Astyanax mexicanus: one gene and its partner. The protein of the gene in region 2 interacts with the protein of the main gene of each other region in a biochemical or structural test. Links are inferred from orthologs where the notes say so. Each region holds a gene or a part of one and is shown on either strand. Other genes may lie near its edges. The genes, in order: tjp3 and patj.

What was found.
Region 1: the proteins of patj (region 2) and tjp3 form a complex in vitro, tested with the Homo sapiens proteins (2 studies listed by BioGRID and IntAct, with this or other methods). The link is inferred for Astyanax mexicanus from reciprocal best matches to the Homo sapiens genes PATJ and TJP3.

What each region holds. Positions count from the first base shown.
Region 1 is NC_064423.1:14,629,849-14,637,416, reverse strand, and holds the start of tjp3 (tight junction protein ZO-3), read right to left. Parts: upstream 3,222-7,568; 5' UTR 3,003-3,221; coding exon 2,979-3,002; intron 1-2,978. UniProt on the Homo sapiens protein: TJP1, TJP2, and TJP3 are closely related scaffolding proteins that link tight junction (TJ) transmembrane proteins such as claudins, junctional adhesion molecules, and occludin to the actin cytoskeleton.
Region 2 is NC_064423.1:15,520,965-15,529,140, forward strand, and holds the start of patj (inaD-like protein), read left to right. Parts: upstream 1-4,952; 5' UTR 4,953-5,223; intron 5,224-5,573; 5' UTR 5,574-5,610; intron 5,611-5,699; 5' UTR 5,700-5,755; intron 5,756-7,289; 5' UTR 7,290-7,332; coding exon 7,333-7,354; intron 7,355-7,851; coding exon 7,852-8,030; intron 8,031-8,176.

The DNA of each region.
Region 1 (7,568 bases), about 890 kb from region 2:
AGGCTGAAGTGATTCAAATCTGTTTTTTTGATCAATGTGGCCCAGATCTGATTTTTTTCATGGCCGTGTGAACCATGGACATGCGGCATAAATGTCTATTTGCTTTTACACATGTGCTACATGCTACCCACACTCTTGGTGCAGCTGTTCAGCTATAGCTGCAAAAACAGCAAAAGCAAACCCCCTGGCCTTTTTTCTCCTCCTCGATCTGAGCATGAACATCAGACCAGCTGTTTGTTCCCCACTCGAGCTTAAGATGCTCCACATATGAGCTGCTAACATATTAATGTAATCTTTATAAAGCTTCGTTGTTGGTGAAGACGACGACGTTTACACACGTATCAATGTGCGCATTTGAGGCGTTTCTGGGACAGATTCTTTCACATTACACACAGATACAGCTCACTTACATTTGTGAAAGTGAACCATCAAGATCTGATCTGAGCAAAAAATTGGATTTGAGCAAAGTGCCTTGTAAAGTGAATGTAGCCAATAGGGACAGGGTCACAGGCACCCAAAGGCTCACTGATGTTTTTGAGACCCCACCTTATAACACCTCACAAATGTGATGCAAGTTTTAGTGGCTCCATGGGAACGTACACAATATTAAGCAGGTGGTTTTATATGGCTGGTAGTCAAACGCATAGTGAAAACATAAATCAAAGCTTTGAGTAAATATCATGTGTGTTTTAAACTCACACAAAGCCAATCCAAAGCTGGGGAACAAACTGCAGTCGCCAAGCTGGAATTTAACACCAGGTTACAGTTTAACTATTAATCTCTTTAAAAGGTAAACATCATGCTCGACTAGTTTCACAGTCTAGCCTCTGGTGTAAGTGTGTTCGGGGTCAAGGCCTGTTTTATAAATGTACAGAGTTCAGTGCTGTGGTGATTAACCATGTGCTACAGAGCTTAGGCTGGAAAACAGTAGAGTAGTCTAAGGATGAGTAACAACTACACAGAAACCACATGACCATGAAATCATATATGTGGGCATGTGTCTGTTGTTTTAATGTGATTAATGCTACGAATACAGACTTGCTGTTTGGCCACGTGTTTGAATAGGCAACCAGCTGCTTTGTGAACATAACGGTTCACAATAGGGCTGTGTCATATTGCATCATATGCAATAATATAATTATTTATTAAACAATTCAAAGAAAATGCATATCTGGATAATTCTGTCTCAAAACTTTTCTATATAAATAATATACAAGGCCAAAAGTAGGACACCCTTCTATTTCAAAAACAAAATATGGCGTCTTTCAATATGGTGATTACAAGGGGTGTGCCATATCGTATTGTAAGCAATATTATCGGCAAAAATTCTAACATAATAAAAAACTCCATATCGTGATATTGTGGTATTATTAAAAATGTTTATATTGCTGCAGTAGTATATTCTTAAAAAAACATTTTGACATAATAAAAAAAAAAAACGTAAAATACTGTGATATTATTTTAGGGGCCATAGTGGCCACAATCAGAACATAGCCTAGCCATATCTGGGACATTACAGCAGCAGAATACTAACACCCCCTCCCCCTCCACCATCCGGCAGGTTTAAGTTCATTTTTACTTGCATAAATTCAATTAAAAAATAATTATTTTCACAACTGTTTTTTTCTATCTGAAATGCACAAGCTACACAGGGTTACCTCAGCAAACATTTGCATCTGTTTGTTTTTGGGAATAAGTTTCACTTGCAAGTAACTTGAGTAGCACTGCTGAGGTACATTTATGACTAAAACTATGATTAGAATAGCAATGCTTAGATACATATCCAGCTCATTGTGTGACTAGAATAGCAATGCTTCAAAATGAATTCATGACTAAAGTAGCACTGCTGAGGTAAATATGTTGTACTTTGTCTGCTGAGATTTTTTATTTATTTAAACAAAACAAAATACATTCAGGCTATAAAGTTTATTTAAAAAGTGGGGCATTTCTATGTTCTGTATTAGGTAATATGTTTCATTTTGTTCAATGTTTCACTCTTTTTCATTTCTGTGCATCTCTAAATAAAGCTAAAATGCTGTTTCTTTGTTGACATCAAAAAGCTACATTTATTAAAAATCCTGAAACAATTCTAGAAGAATGTCTAAATATTTTTTAACTTTTAAAGAATGCATTAAGCTAAACATAATTACTGACACAAATGTGCAAATGCAAACACATTTTGTTCAATCCCTGTAGTAAAGTACTGCCAATTAGAGCTGGGCGATGTGACCTCTAATCAATATCGAGATTATTTGAACATTTAACTCTAATTACAATTACTAAATGATTGTATAAGCTGCTCGAGATGCTCAGTTTGCTCGGCCTGTGTTGGATTTCTCCTTGGGTTGCTGTCACAGACAGGTCAGGGCTGAGTCACGTGACTATGTTTTTCCATTTACATGAATAAGTGTAGTAATTTAAAATGTAAAAAAAAAATAATAATGAGCAAAAGTATTTTGGTTATAGGTTTTGAATGAGTGTTGATTAATTAAATTTCAAATTATTGCCCAGCCATCCTGGCATGTTTTTTCGGCTTGGACCTACTGGCACCTACTGGCACCTAAAGCTCTATTTAGAATTGTTAGGATGAGTTGGGAAAGAGGTGGGGTGGTGATGTTTCAACAACCTGAACACACTTAAGCTCTTTTCTTTGTCACTGAATGCAATCAAATCCTTACAGCAATGCTTCAAAATCTAGTAGAAATATTTTCCTTCTCTGTACAGTAGCGACAGTAACACAAACAAATAGGTAAACTAGATAAACTATTAATTATTTTCCTTTAATTTACAGATTTCAGAAGGAACAATAAATGAGCAGGTGTCCCAATACTCTAGGGAATATACATTGTACAACAAGGCGCAGTGTTTCTTTCCAGTTAGTATTAAAATAATACCCAAACAACAACTACCGCAGCAACAAAACAGATACTATAATAACATTAATAAATAAAACTTGTGGATTAGTTCTGTGTACTCACCAGATCTCTGAACCTCACCTCCATTATCTCTCTCTCTCTCTCCACGCTACACTCCTAGAGAAACACCTGTGACCTCTGCGACTACGCCCTCAGGCAGCTAACGGTCACCTCCACCGCCGACCACCACGGCTCTCTCTGGGAAACCACATTTTTCCCACCAGCAAAAGCAAAGATTAGCTGGATTCTTTCCACAGGAAACCCACAGGAAACAACACAAACCCTATCAGAGAACAAGTCCGTGAAAAACACCTTGCACACAAAGCACCTGAGTCAATGGAAAGCCCCACCCACAAGCCTTCCCAGCCACGAGATACCTTCTATTACTAGCTTTGTCGAGGCTTTAAGGTGGAGCTTCTCAGTCTGCATTGTTTTCTGCTCCAGTGAGGCAGAACCACCTTAGGAGGCTCGAATTTTAAGAGGGATCCAGCTGGAGGCACGATGAGTTAAACCAACATCCTGCCAACCGGTTCGGCTGGGATACAAAAACAAACAAACAAACAAACAAACAAACAAACAAACAAACAAACAAACAAACAAACAAACAAACACTCTCTCAGTAAATCTTGGAGTGGGAACAGAGGGCTGCAGTCCAGCAGGAGTTTAGTGATGTCCCTGATCTAACGTACTTTACACCTTCCTATAAACATGGCAGCTAAATTAGGTGCGCAGGTCGAGAAGGAAAACCACAAAAAAGTGCACGGTAAACACTGCATTACAGGAACAGTACAGGAAAAGCAGGGTGTTTTTCTCTTTGTTCTAGTCATTTGACACAGCATGTAAATACAGTTAATTAAAACCGTGAACAAATACAGTACTTCTCTTTGCCACAAACTCAAAACATGTTTTATGTCACTTTAAGTAGCACTACTGAGGTAAATGTGTATTTAAAGTTACCGAAAATAATAATGCAATTACTTGGCCTGTTAGAATAACTATGCTTTATTAGACAGTACATTGTCTTAGAAATAATTCTAATCAACAAGATTATCTTCGTTTTACATTCTTATGTTTTATGACCATGGGGCAAGGGATACAAGATCATCCAGGCAAGTAAGCGATAAAACCATGCAGTTTCTCTGATTTAAAGAGGAATTAGCTTTTAATTAATATTGATTTCCAGACAAGGAACTTGAAAGAAAACATGTTTAAATATGCTAAACAAATAAAACAAATAAAAATATGTTAAAAAGTGTCATTAATGGGCTCTCATTACTAACAAAAGGATAGTGGGCAGTTTTAATCATAGAAATAATGTCACGATAAGTGAATAATGTAATTATACTGACATACCTAATAACCAGAGATGGATTCAGCAGCAACTTTAAGTCAGTAGTTTTATTATTGCTATTGTTATTATTAATAATTTATACTAATTACAACCTAGCTGTAAGATGTCTAGTCTACTGGTCTACTTTTGGGTTAAAGGTTGTGGATCAGATCATACGCGGCCACAGAAACTGAGCTGTTTGCTGCAGGAGATTATTAATGTTGTCTAATAGTGAGTGAGTGGGAGAGTAGAGTATCCTCTTGGGAGTAGAGGAAGGGAATAAGCCTTATATCTAATCCCAGATGTTTGGTGCATGATTTTTTATCTTTCTGTATAATATTACCTACAGTTACGTTTGCATGCATATGAACGTCAGTGTCAGCCCATGTTTAATCTAAAGGGTTTAATATGATGTCAACCCACGCTTTTGCACATGGGTCATCCTATCACAATGCCATGCTGGCATTCACTGAGCTTCTTTCACCAATGTTTGTAGAAGCACACTACATGCCTGGCTGCTTGCTTGTATACACCTATGGCCATATAAGTGATCGCAAAACTGGAATTCAATGATTTAAATGGGCAAGTGAATACCTTTTGCAATAGCGTTTAGTGTATATCTAATAGAAGTCTGTAGCTATGAATCCCAAACTAAAGCCATATTGAAAACACTTAGTAAGCCAAATGAAAGGCTGTAGTTCTGCAGCTCACATGCCATAAACTGTACTATAAACTACCAAAGAGTACCAAAGATTAACCAATATAGAGTGATTAAACTTCAGCTTCTGTAGGTTCAGCTTTCAATAGTTACTTTACAGAAATTAAATACAGAAATATTCATACTTGCTCAGTCTCACAAAAAATATCCTGCATCATACGTCACTCTCCAGGTTTCTATTAACAATACCAAAAACATAAAAAAATTCTGTTTCTTGTTTTAGGTTTAATTCTATGTCAAAATGCTGAGTGTAATGCTATGGTGCACTGAGAAATCTCACTGAAAGCATATATGACATGAAGCATCTGCATGTTTCCGTGTGTCATGTTCCCACCAGTTTCTGTTATTTTAAAATAAGTGTTTTGCTGTTTTGTAATGATCTTTCACTAAATTTGAAAAGAACTGTGGGAATAATTGTACATTGGTTGACCACCACTGTGTTTTGTAAACAGTGCTTACAACACTATTTAGGCTCTCATTAACTGTGCTGCATCATGCCTTGTAAAGAAAGATGTCTCTAGGCTAAAACACCTCTAATCACTCTAGTTTGTGGAGGTAGATTCAACCTGTTAAACTAACAAACAAACAGTACAGAGTGGGCGGAGTAAAACTGGCAAATAAACAGCATTAAGGGAGAGGGACAAAACTGCTGAATAAATAACATGAAGTTTATTAGTCCAAAATACTGAATAAACAGTTCTAAGTAGGCGGGGCCAGACTGCTGTACTGGCTAAAGGTAAAAAATAAATGTTCATTTTTGTTAAATTTCTATTGGCCATAAATGAATTTAACGTTCAACTTTTTTGCCTTTATTGTCACATGCTCACGAGTACCAGTGAAATTAGCCATCAACCTGTCTGTACCAGACAGCAAAAAAAGAGGGGGAGACAGGACAGAAAGACAGGGCTGATGTAATTCTGGTTTGTACAACAAATCAGAATATGTTTTATACCACTTTTCGCATTTGAGGACAGATCTGCACACTCTTGATATTTTAATCTTAGTGTCTTCATGAGGTCGAGTCACCTGAACTGTAGTTGCTGCTTTTCCTACAGACTGTGAAGCTCCAGCTCATCCCAAATCACCTCAAATCACCATATCAGTTAATAAGGTTTAGATCAGAGGATTGTGGAGAACAAACACTTTTTTTTGTTTAATATACCCTTAATTGCTTGATGTTTTTAATATTGATTGACAATATTGAAAATAAATTAAATAAAGAAATGAAGTAAAACATTAAATGAGAATCTTTTGACTGGTACTGTAACAGTATATAAACATGAGAGCATGGTGTTAGAAATGACAACAAAAGCTTTACAAAAATACCACAGCATTTCTACAACCTCCCCAGCAACAACTGGCCTCACTGTAAATGCATGGTGCCCTGGTTACACAGGGAATCATTACCCCACTTGGTTAATGATTGATAAAGCACAGCATTTTGTAGCTGGCCTAGAAAAGGGCTATGGTATGTTGTGCACTAAAGTTTCAGGATCAGGAAGCAGCGGGCTGTTTGTAATCGTGCATACCATCAGATCCTGGAAAAACGGGATCGTCTACGAAAGCTGGTCTTTCACATGACTTACTTTTGGCTGCAGTCCCTCAGTTCAGACTGAGCTTTAAATGCTGTTGGGAAAGCATTTCATGTCACTGTATTTAAATATCAAATATATCCTGTTACTAATGAAGCACTGTTCGTTTTCTGTGAGCCAGTGCAGGTGTAAGAAACCTGGCAGCAGGCCAGCAGGTAAATCAGTAACTGAGCTTTTGGTAGTTGCTGGAAATGTACCTTGAGTTGGTATTAGATTCACATGCTGTAGAGCGACGATAAACACAATGCCGAACACGCTGCCGGACACACTGCTGTGTGTTAAGGTGTGTCTGCTCACCAGTAACTGTAAACACCTTCACCTGCAGAACTGCTGATTGCTCCCTGGGCACAGGCAGGCTGTTTACTCAAGCTCCATCTACTGTTACTCACGCTCAGCCATGTGTCAAGCAAATGTATCCAGCAGGATGGATACAATTCACTGATCTCTACATTCCTCGTGTAAATCGATCAAGCATAACATTATGACTACCTCTTTGTTTTTAACACCCATTTTTCCATTTTTTTTTAGCTCCACTAAGCTTATAGAAGCACTTGGTTGTTCTATAATTACAGCCTGTAGTCCTTCTGTTTCTCTGCATACTTTATTATTCCCTTTTCCCCCTGTTCTTCAATGGTCAGAACCCGAAAGGAAGTCCTCTGCAATGCATGGACACTGGCATGGCAGTGGTGCGTTAGTGTGTGTTGTGATAGTATGAGTGAATCACACACAGCAATGTTGCTGGAGTTTTTAAACACATCAGTGTCACCGCCAATGCAATCTGTGCAGCAAAAGATGAACTTCTATGAGTCTTCTGCCTCATAAAAGCTACAAACACATCCACAGCACAACAGCAAAACTACTTCTGCTTTATTTTACCAACACTACTTTACCAGATAAACAGGGGGATTAACCAGGTAGGAGAGTAACCAATCATACCAAAAAGTTTTGTTCCAGAGAATACAGTTCCACTGCCGCACAGCTCATTCCGAGGCCAGGGGTTTATGTCTCTCTAG
Region 2 (8,176 bases):
ATAATGATGTGTTAACTTATTACTGTGAATGGGGAAGGAAAAAAAAAAAAAAAGTCACAATTTTCCATTTTTCAATGGCATCCATTTGGATACACACAGAAAAACTGGTGAGTTTATGCCATTAGGGATCTGAAAGAATTGCAATTAATTAATCCTCCCACATCTAGTAATTTAAACATAATTACTGTTAATCGCCAGTAATAGTGCTGATAATTGGTCACTGAAGGGCTTAAGCGTGTTGATTCCAGCACTGATATCAAAAGAGCTGCCTGCGGAGAGCCTGTTCAGCCCTGCCAGGCAGGGTCTTTAGAGCTGAATGGCGCAGTAGCTTGAAGGTCAGTCCAGACCAGGTGCAGATCTCGGAGAGAACGCCTGCAGGACTGGCTCAGGCTCTGCATGGGCTTGCCTTTCACCTGCTCCGCTCAAACACTCAAAAAAAAACACACAAAAAAAAGAGCCCAAGAAGAAGGAAAAAGGAAAGCCTTCATCCGCCAGAGTCTTTTGTATGTCTGCAGGTGCTTAATTGATAAGAATGGCCTTAAAACATGGAGAGAAGGAGAAAAGGAGCTCCTCACGCCACATCCTGCTTCACTCTGGAGTTTATGTATAAAGAACTAGCTCCTCCAGGTGAGATAATGTTAGCAGTGTTTATTTTCTCACATGCCAGTTCCCCTCGGCTCTATTCAGTTTTTGGAGATTTGAAGAGAAGAAACACAGACTTCAGGAAATTAGCGAACTCTCACTTGTACAGTTTGTTAACAGATAAAAAGAAAAGAAGAGTTAAGCATGAAAATTATCAGAGGCTGTTTACAGACTTTAAAAAGTCCAGCCCAAAGTCTGAACTAATGGATAATGTGTTTTTTAATACTGTAAAGATTTTGGTCCGGTTAGTTTTGGTTTCACAATGCAGTTTACTAGTAATTGGTATTACTATTAAATCAATAAAAATCAATTTGACAAGTTGCCTTTCCAGATGTTGTGCCAAATCTAACTCTCTTTGAGTGTATGCAAGCTAGCAGAATGAGCACTACAGACCACTCACAAATATACTTTATTTCTGTTTATACATAAAGGTTTAAACTACAGCTATTGTAGATACAGGAATCACCATCAGTGTAATGCTGTCCCTACATATACAGTATAATAATAAAGATGCCATTGGATAGAGCCGAACATGAGGGTTGAGCTGGCCTTGCCCATAAGTAAAAGGTACTTTTTTTATAGTTGCGTATATGGATGACTGATATCATATGGTTGAAAGACTGGAGCAAAAAATAAATAAATAAATAAATAAATAAATAAAAATTATATATATATATATATATATATATATATATATATATATATATATATATATATATATATATATATATATATATATATGGCAAATAAAATCTGCCTCTGGAAGAGAAATCATGGACAATATGCCCACAATGCTTTGATAAGCTAAAAGAAAATATTGTGCATGTCGGTAACATTCTATTCTACAATTTGTTACACTTGATAATTAACAGTTTACTACCAACACATTTAGGAGGACTTACCGAGAGCTGGATAACCCAAATAGAAGCGGTCTGCACCGAGCCATCCCAGGAACAGTGACAAAGCCACAGCTACTTTGTAAGAATAAACACTCCTAGTCAAACAAAAAACAAAACAAAACATTATCACAAAATATTAACCCCAATGAAATCAAATTCTTTTAGATTAGTATTTACTATAGACATTTAGAGGGAAGAAACTCACACATTACGACATGGAACACTTTTATTAAATCCAACCTCATCGCCACTGAATTTGTACTTGGTCCCATTAGGCAGCAAACAGCTGATGTTTGGTGCAGGAAGACACTCCACTGAAAAAAATAACATAGCATATTAGCTACTAGGGCTGGGCATTATGGATCAAAACTAATATCTGATTTTTTTTTTTAATCCCATAAGGTAATAACAAAAAGACACTTCCAAGACAAAGCTACATGCTCCAGATTTTACACAGGCAGTTTTATTATCCTGTGTCATATCCTGTATATTAGAACGTATTAGTGCTTAAAGGGAATTTAAATTACACTAATTATAAACAAGATTCTTCAAATAAAATGTTTGTTTCTTTTTTCATTTAAAGTACCTTAAAAACAACATCAAAGTGTGATTTTGGTAAAAGAGTCTTAAAGTGCTTAAATAAGTCATTTAAAAAGTGCAATTTGAGTTTTCTTTAAATCTGGGCAGAAACAGTGACAGGTCTATTCCTATACCTGTGTGTAGGAGCTGATTGGTCAGTTCAGGTTAGAGTGGGCATGACAGCTCTGAAGATAAGTGTTTAGTTTTTGTAGTGACGCAGGTTTTGAACTGCCTGTGTTTCTCTGAAATGTCGAGTTCTGTTGTCACTATGTGTTTTATATAAAATGCTCTGAATGGGCTCCTGTGTGCACCACATTTTATTTAGGAAGCGCGGGATTGGTCTGTAATTTTCCTGCACCCTGAAGCCTCCACTGAACGGTTCTGCTGCTTAAAATAAATTTGGGGCAATGTCTGGGTGCGGGAGAACTGACAGAGCTAACTGGAATGCAGTATAGACTTTATTAATACAAACCATACTGTTTGATCTCGTATGAACATATATTTTTATAAATCTATTTTGCCCAGCTCTATTATGGACAGATTTGACAACTGGCACACTGCTCTATACTCTTAAGTCAACAACAAAAAAAGCATAGTGACAGATGCATTTTTAATGATCATCAGTTATCATATGAGCTCACCCCATGCTATTAGATCCTTGCAGTTCTCTGGTTCTTGAGTTGCATCATTTATTATAGGACTTTTGCAGATATACCTGAATATTGTCAAGGAGAAACACAGACTGGTCCTGTTACAGACAATACTTTCAGCACTAGAGCATACAGTTTTAAGGTTTGCTGTTTTATCACATCTTTTTTGATTATACTATATTGCACTCTAAAGGATCTTGAAGTTTAGTTTAAATGTTCAAAAAGTTGTTTATTAATAAATATCAATTAAAATGGATATACAAAAAATAATATATCTTTCTAGCTCTCTGTATATTTATCAATTAGCTATGCTGATGAGCACTTCTCTTTTCTCTTCTTTATCGTACTGATATTTTCTTAATTATTAAAAAACTTCATATAAATATCAGGCAAAGATAACCTGAGTAAAAATAAAAAACACTTTTTAAATGATAATTTCATTTATTAAGAGGGAAAAAAAAGTTTGTGTTTGCCCCATATTCTGAAACAGGTCTGGGCTCTTATGTTTTGATATTATTTTTACTACTACTATAATGATTATTATTATTATTACTACTACTATAAAAAAATATTACTTCAAACAATAGACTGCATGCTTACAATTAGAATTGTGTATAGGGCTGTAACAATAAATATTTTATCAACTTATTATGCAATAAATTGACATAACTTCTATAATGTTTTACTCACTTTGACATTATATGAAGACCCATTAGAATGAACAAGCAGGGATGTAATTTTTTTTTTTTAATAATATGTTTTTTATTTTATTTAGATATTTAGGACATTCTATATTACAATTCCAGTGTATGGATATTTTTTTGTTTAAAATGTTCTCTTAAACAATGTGTACAATAACGTGTATTATGATATAATATGTCTTCAGAATGGGGGGCAGATCGTGCAGCAATTTAATATTATGATTCATTCTTAATTCCACTTTAAAGGGGAGCTAAAATTAGCTTTTATTTATATATATATATATATATATATATATATATATATATATATATATATATATATATATATATATATATATATATATCTATATATATATTCCATTCTATCTTAAATGCTGCAGCCGCTGAATCTGTTGCACTACAATCTATGACTAGGCTTTACCCTTGATTGAGAATATACACCTGAATGGAGGCATACAAATAGAACTAAATTCTTACCCAATAAACCCTCCCAAAGTGTTTGCACATAAGGATGCAGACATATAAGTTATGTTATATTTAAATTGCTAACTAACTTCTAGATTTAGCTACTGGTTTGTTTGTTCATGCTACCTTTGTTTGACAGCACAGAACGCATTAGCCTGGCTAGGTCAGCTAACGCTAGCTAGCTAACATTTTAATTAACAAATTTGCATTAACAATTTTTTTTGCCAGTATAGAACCCATTGGCTGGGTTAAGTCAGTACAGCTAGCTACATAACCTAACAGAGAAAACACACATTCTAACTTAACTTAGCTAACATTTAATTTAACAAATTAGCATTAAGAATTTTTTTTTTAGCAGCACATAACCCATCAATTTTCTAGGTTAGGTCAGCTAACGGTAGCTACATAACAGAGATAACACACATTTAAACCTAGCTTTAACATTTTATTTTACAAATAACTAAATTCCAGAACTGATTTGGCAGCACAGAACCTACTAGCAGGGTTAAATTAGCTAAGGCTAGCTGGCTACAAAACAGAGAAAACAAACTTTGCAAGGTTAATATTTTATCTATCAAATAAAGTACATTTCAGGCTTTGTTTAATAGCAAATACCCAAATACACGCTAGGTCAGCAAAACAGAACCCTACCTACGTTATTATTGTGTTGACAACTAACCTAGCTAGGTTATATCCATCTAGCTAGGCTAGGCTAAGCTAAGCTAAGCTAAACCGGATAGCTAGCCTGTTTCTGCAGCGGAGAAAACACACAAATCCTCCACTCAAACAGCGGAAAAAAGGATACTGTCCGGGGCGGAGATGTTCACAGCTATCCACCTGCTCAGTAACGCTGTGAATTAAAGTCCAGCAGGAGGAGAAAAGCACAAACACGAGCTGTTTCCACCAGCAACAAAACAGCCCGCTGCTGGGTGAAGCCATGTTGGAGGCGGCGGTGGTCACGTGACCCGGAGAGATTTTTTTTTAAAGAGACAAAAAAAAATCAGCGAAAGGAAAATGCAGTTGTTTAACCCTCTAAAGTTCTAGTATTTTTATTTGCACTTTAAATGGTTTATTTAGACAGAGCAGTCGCCTTATTTAGTTAAAAATGAATAAAAACTAAAGAAACAAACCTTTACGCTGATGAAGTTGAGTGTGAGGGGAGTAGTTAACGCCAGCTAAACTTCACCACCCGTTTAGCACAGCTAGTGGAGCTAGCCAGCCTGCCAAACTTACTAAATAACATGTTAAACAGCAGTTTAAAGCCTTGACGCGAGAAACAAACTCCAGGTTAGTGGGTTAATATAGTTAATATACATTTTCAGCTTGGTTGCTGTGTGATAAACTGGTTATTTCTGCGTTTACCGGCGTGTAAAACGTGTTAGAGACTAATGCACCTGTTGTACTGTTGTGTGTTGTGTACATTAGCTAAGCTAGCTATTTGTGGAGAAAGCGTTTAACCGTTAGCTGTTTTGTATTAATCCAACATTATTGACCAAATGCACTACTTATTAAGTAACGTTAACGCTTCGCCCCGATCATGTAGGTCTTGTTTATTGTGTTTAATGTAGTTAAACAGTCTTTTTCTGGGTATGTGAGCTTCTCTCTGTTACTTAACTCTACCTGCTTCCTGTTTTCAGGTGAGGCAGCGCAGCTCCTCTCACTTCCGTCAGACAGGTGAGCTCGGGCGGATGAAAACAAGTGAAATCTCAGCTGAAAGAAGCTCAGCGTTTTAACTACAATACTGTTTTGGACTTTATTTACAGGAACCTCCAGCTTGTTTTAAAGCTATAACTGAAGAACTTCGGCGCTTAAAACCTCGGTAAGTAGTCAGAGTTCGTCTTGTTTTACTTAGTTTAAACACAGCTGCTGTGGCTAATGTGTTATTTAACCGCTAACTAACTTAGCTAACCTGGGTTAGCTCACCGAAACTGAGCTGTCTGTTATGATATAGGAAGTCTCCTAGGTGTTAAGAATCGACATTTCTTCCTGAATAACTGTTTTCTCTCATTGTTACTAACCTTTATTGGTGTTAGTGTAGTGTTGAGGTGAGTCAATGAGATATATATTCTTGAATATATTCATATTAATCTCAAAATTAGCCGAATAACTATTTTATCAGCCAAACATCTGACTACAGAGATGACCAGCATGTTTTAACCAGTTGTTTGGGTGGTTTAGCTAATTAGCTAGGTTAGCTAATATTATTTTTTGGACCTTTGTATCAACGTGTTTAACCCATAATTTCTAAATATTGATACCATGCGTAAAATCTAATCCGATCAATCTAATCAGATATATTCAGTGAGCAGCTTATTAATGTTTTTTTGTTATTATTGTGGGCACATACCGAGCCCCTAAGGTGACATCATATTAAAATAAAAATACTTTGTGGCCACAGCTTATTAAGGTGTGGGAATGAGATCCTGAATCTTGGCTATGACTTATTAAGGCGTGGAAATGAGATCGTGAGGCACGGACACAACTTATTAAGGCGTGGGAATGAGATTCTGAGGCATGGACACAACTTATTAACGCATGGGAACGAGATTCTAATGTGTGTGATTATTATTAAGATTATTAAGGCGTTGACACAACTTATTAGGCATGGTAATGAGCTCCTAATGCATGATCACAACTTATTAAGGCATGGAAATTAGATATTAAGGAGGGGGTACGAGATCCTAGGGTGTGACCGCAACCTATTAAGGTGGGGGAATGAGATCTTAGTGCGTGGGAACAAAGTAATTAGGGTGTTGCCAGGACTTATTAAGGTATGGGAATGAGATCCTAAGGCATGGCCATGACTGATTAAGGAATAGGAATGAGATTCTAAGGAGTGGTCACGACTTATTAGGGCGTAGAAATGAGATATGTTCGAATTGTGTTAAAAGGAAATAATTAAGGCGTGACCACAACTTGTTAAGGCCTGGAAATGAGTTCATTAAGATGTGGCCATAACCTCTTAAGGTGTGGGAAACAGATAATTAAAGCATATATAATAAATTAATTAAATCAAGGCCATTAAGGCGTGGCCACAAGGTCCTTTTGTTTCACAGCTAACAAAGCAAGCAGCTCTCCGGGGTTGTGTACAATATGACTCTCTAAGGAAGGTAAATGGATCTGCATAAATCTTGATTTGTGTTTATCTTTGTCACTCATCTCCTGTTACCTGTTGCAGTGTTGTGGTACACAGGAATTCTGATTTACCCCGCAATATCTGTTTGCTGTTTTTAATATTGTGGTAGATCTACCAAACAAACCTTTGACTTTAAACATGTTTAAAAATTCATATATAGGTACAGCCGGATGAAGAAAGGGTTGTTAATGTTGTTTTTCTGTGTTTGTCCTGACAGATTTATTTACATCCCTCTACATTAGGCTCTCCGGGGAGGAGCAATGTATGAAAATGTGCCAACAGGTAAAAGGATTATGCCACATTTTAGTGATACCTAATTAACAGTATAATAAATGCAAACATAGTTTGAGCACACTTGGCTAAACCGATTGTTGATAATTCTTAAACAAATGTATGTTTTTTTTATTTGCCTTTCTTACTAGCATATGAGCAGAACTTGAAGATGTCACCTTAATAGTCTGCACTTTAGAACGTTCAAGCTTAAAACAATTGTCTTTTGTTTGTTTTTTAGAGCATGTATAAAATCATAAAACCTGTTCCAAATTTTGCACAGGCTATATTGATATCTTAAATGTATTGTTTTGTTGATTTATTATGAAAGGCAGACTAGCTGTATATATTTCTCTGATCAATTTTAATATCAATTTTATGTTAAAACAAAAGATTGCAAAAGATTTCCTTAATGCTGTTTAAATTTTACAGTAGTAAAGTCATTATTTCATAATTGTACTTAAATCATAACTCTGTGTCTTTTTATCTCTGTGTCTGTGTGTGTTCAGTATCTGCAACCGAGCGGCAGCAGGTGCTTCAGGCCTTGGAGAGGCTGCAGTCGAAGCTGGTGCAGCGTGAGGAATGGACTCATAGTGAGCGTCTGGGAGCGCTGAAGGAAGCACTGCAGAGCCCGCTTCTCGGCCATATATTAACCCTGCAGCACTCTGTCAAACAGCTCCGAGACCAGGTCAGGCTTGGCTCAGCATAACAACTCCACACTGGAGGGGAGGGGTGTACAATACACTGATGCTTTTTAGTTACTGAGATAAAATACAACAAATTATGAGTACTTGTGAGCACTGATATAGCAGTTTATAATTAATATATTTAACA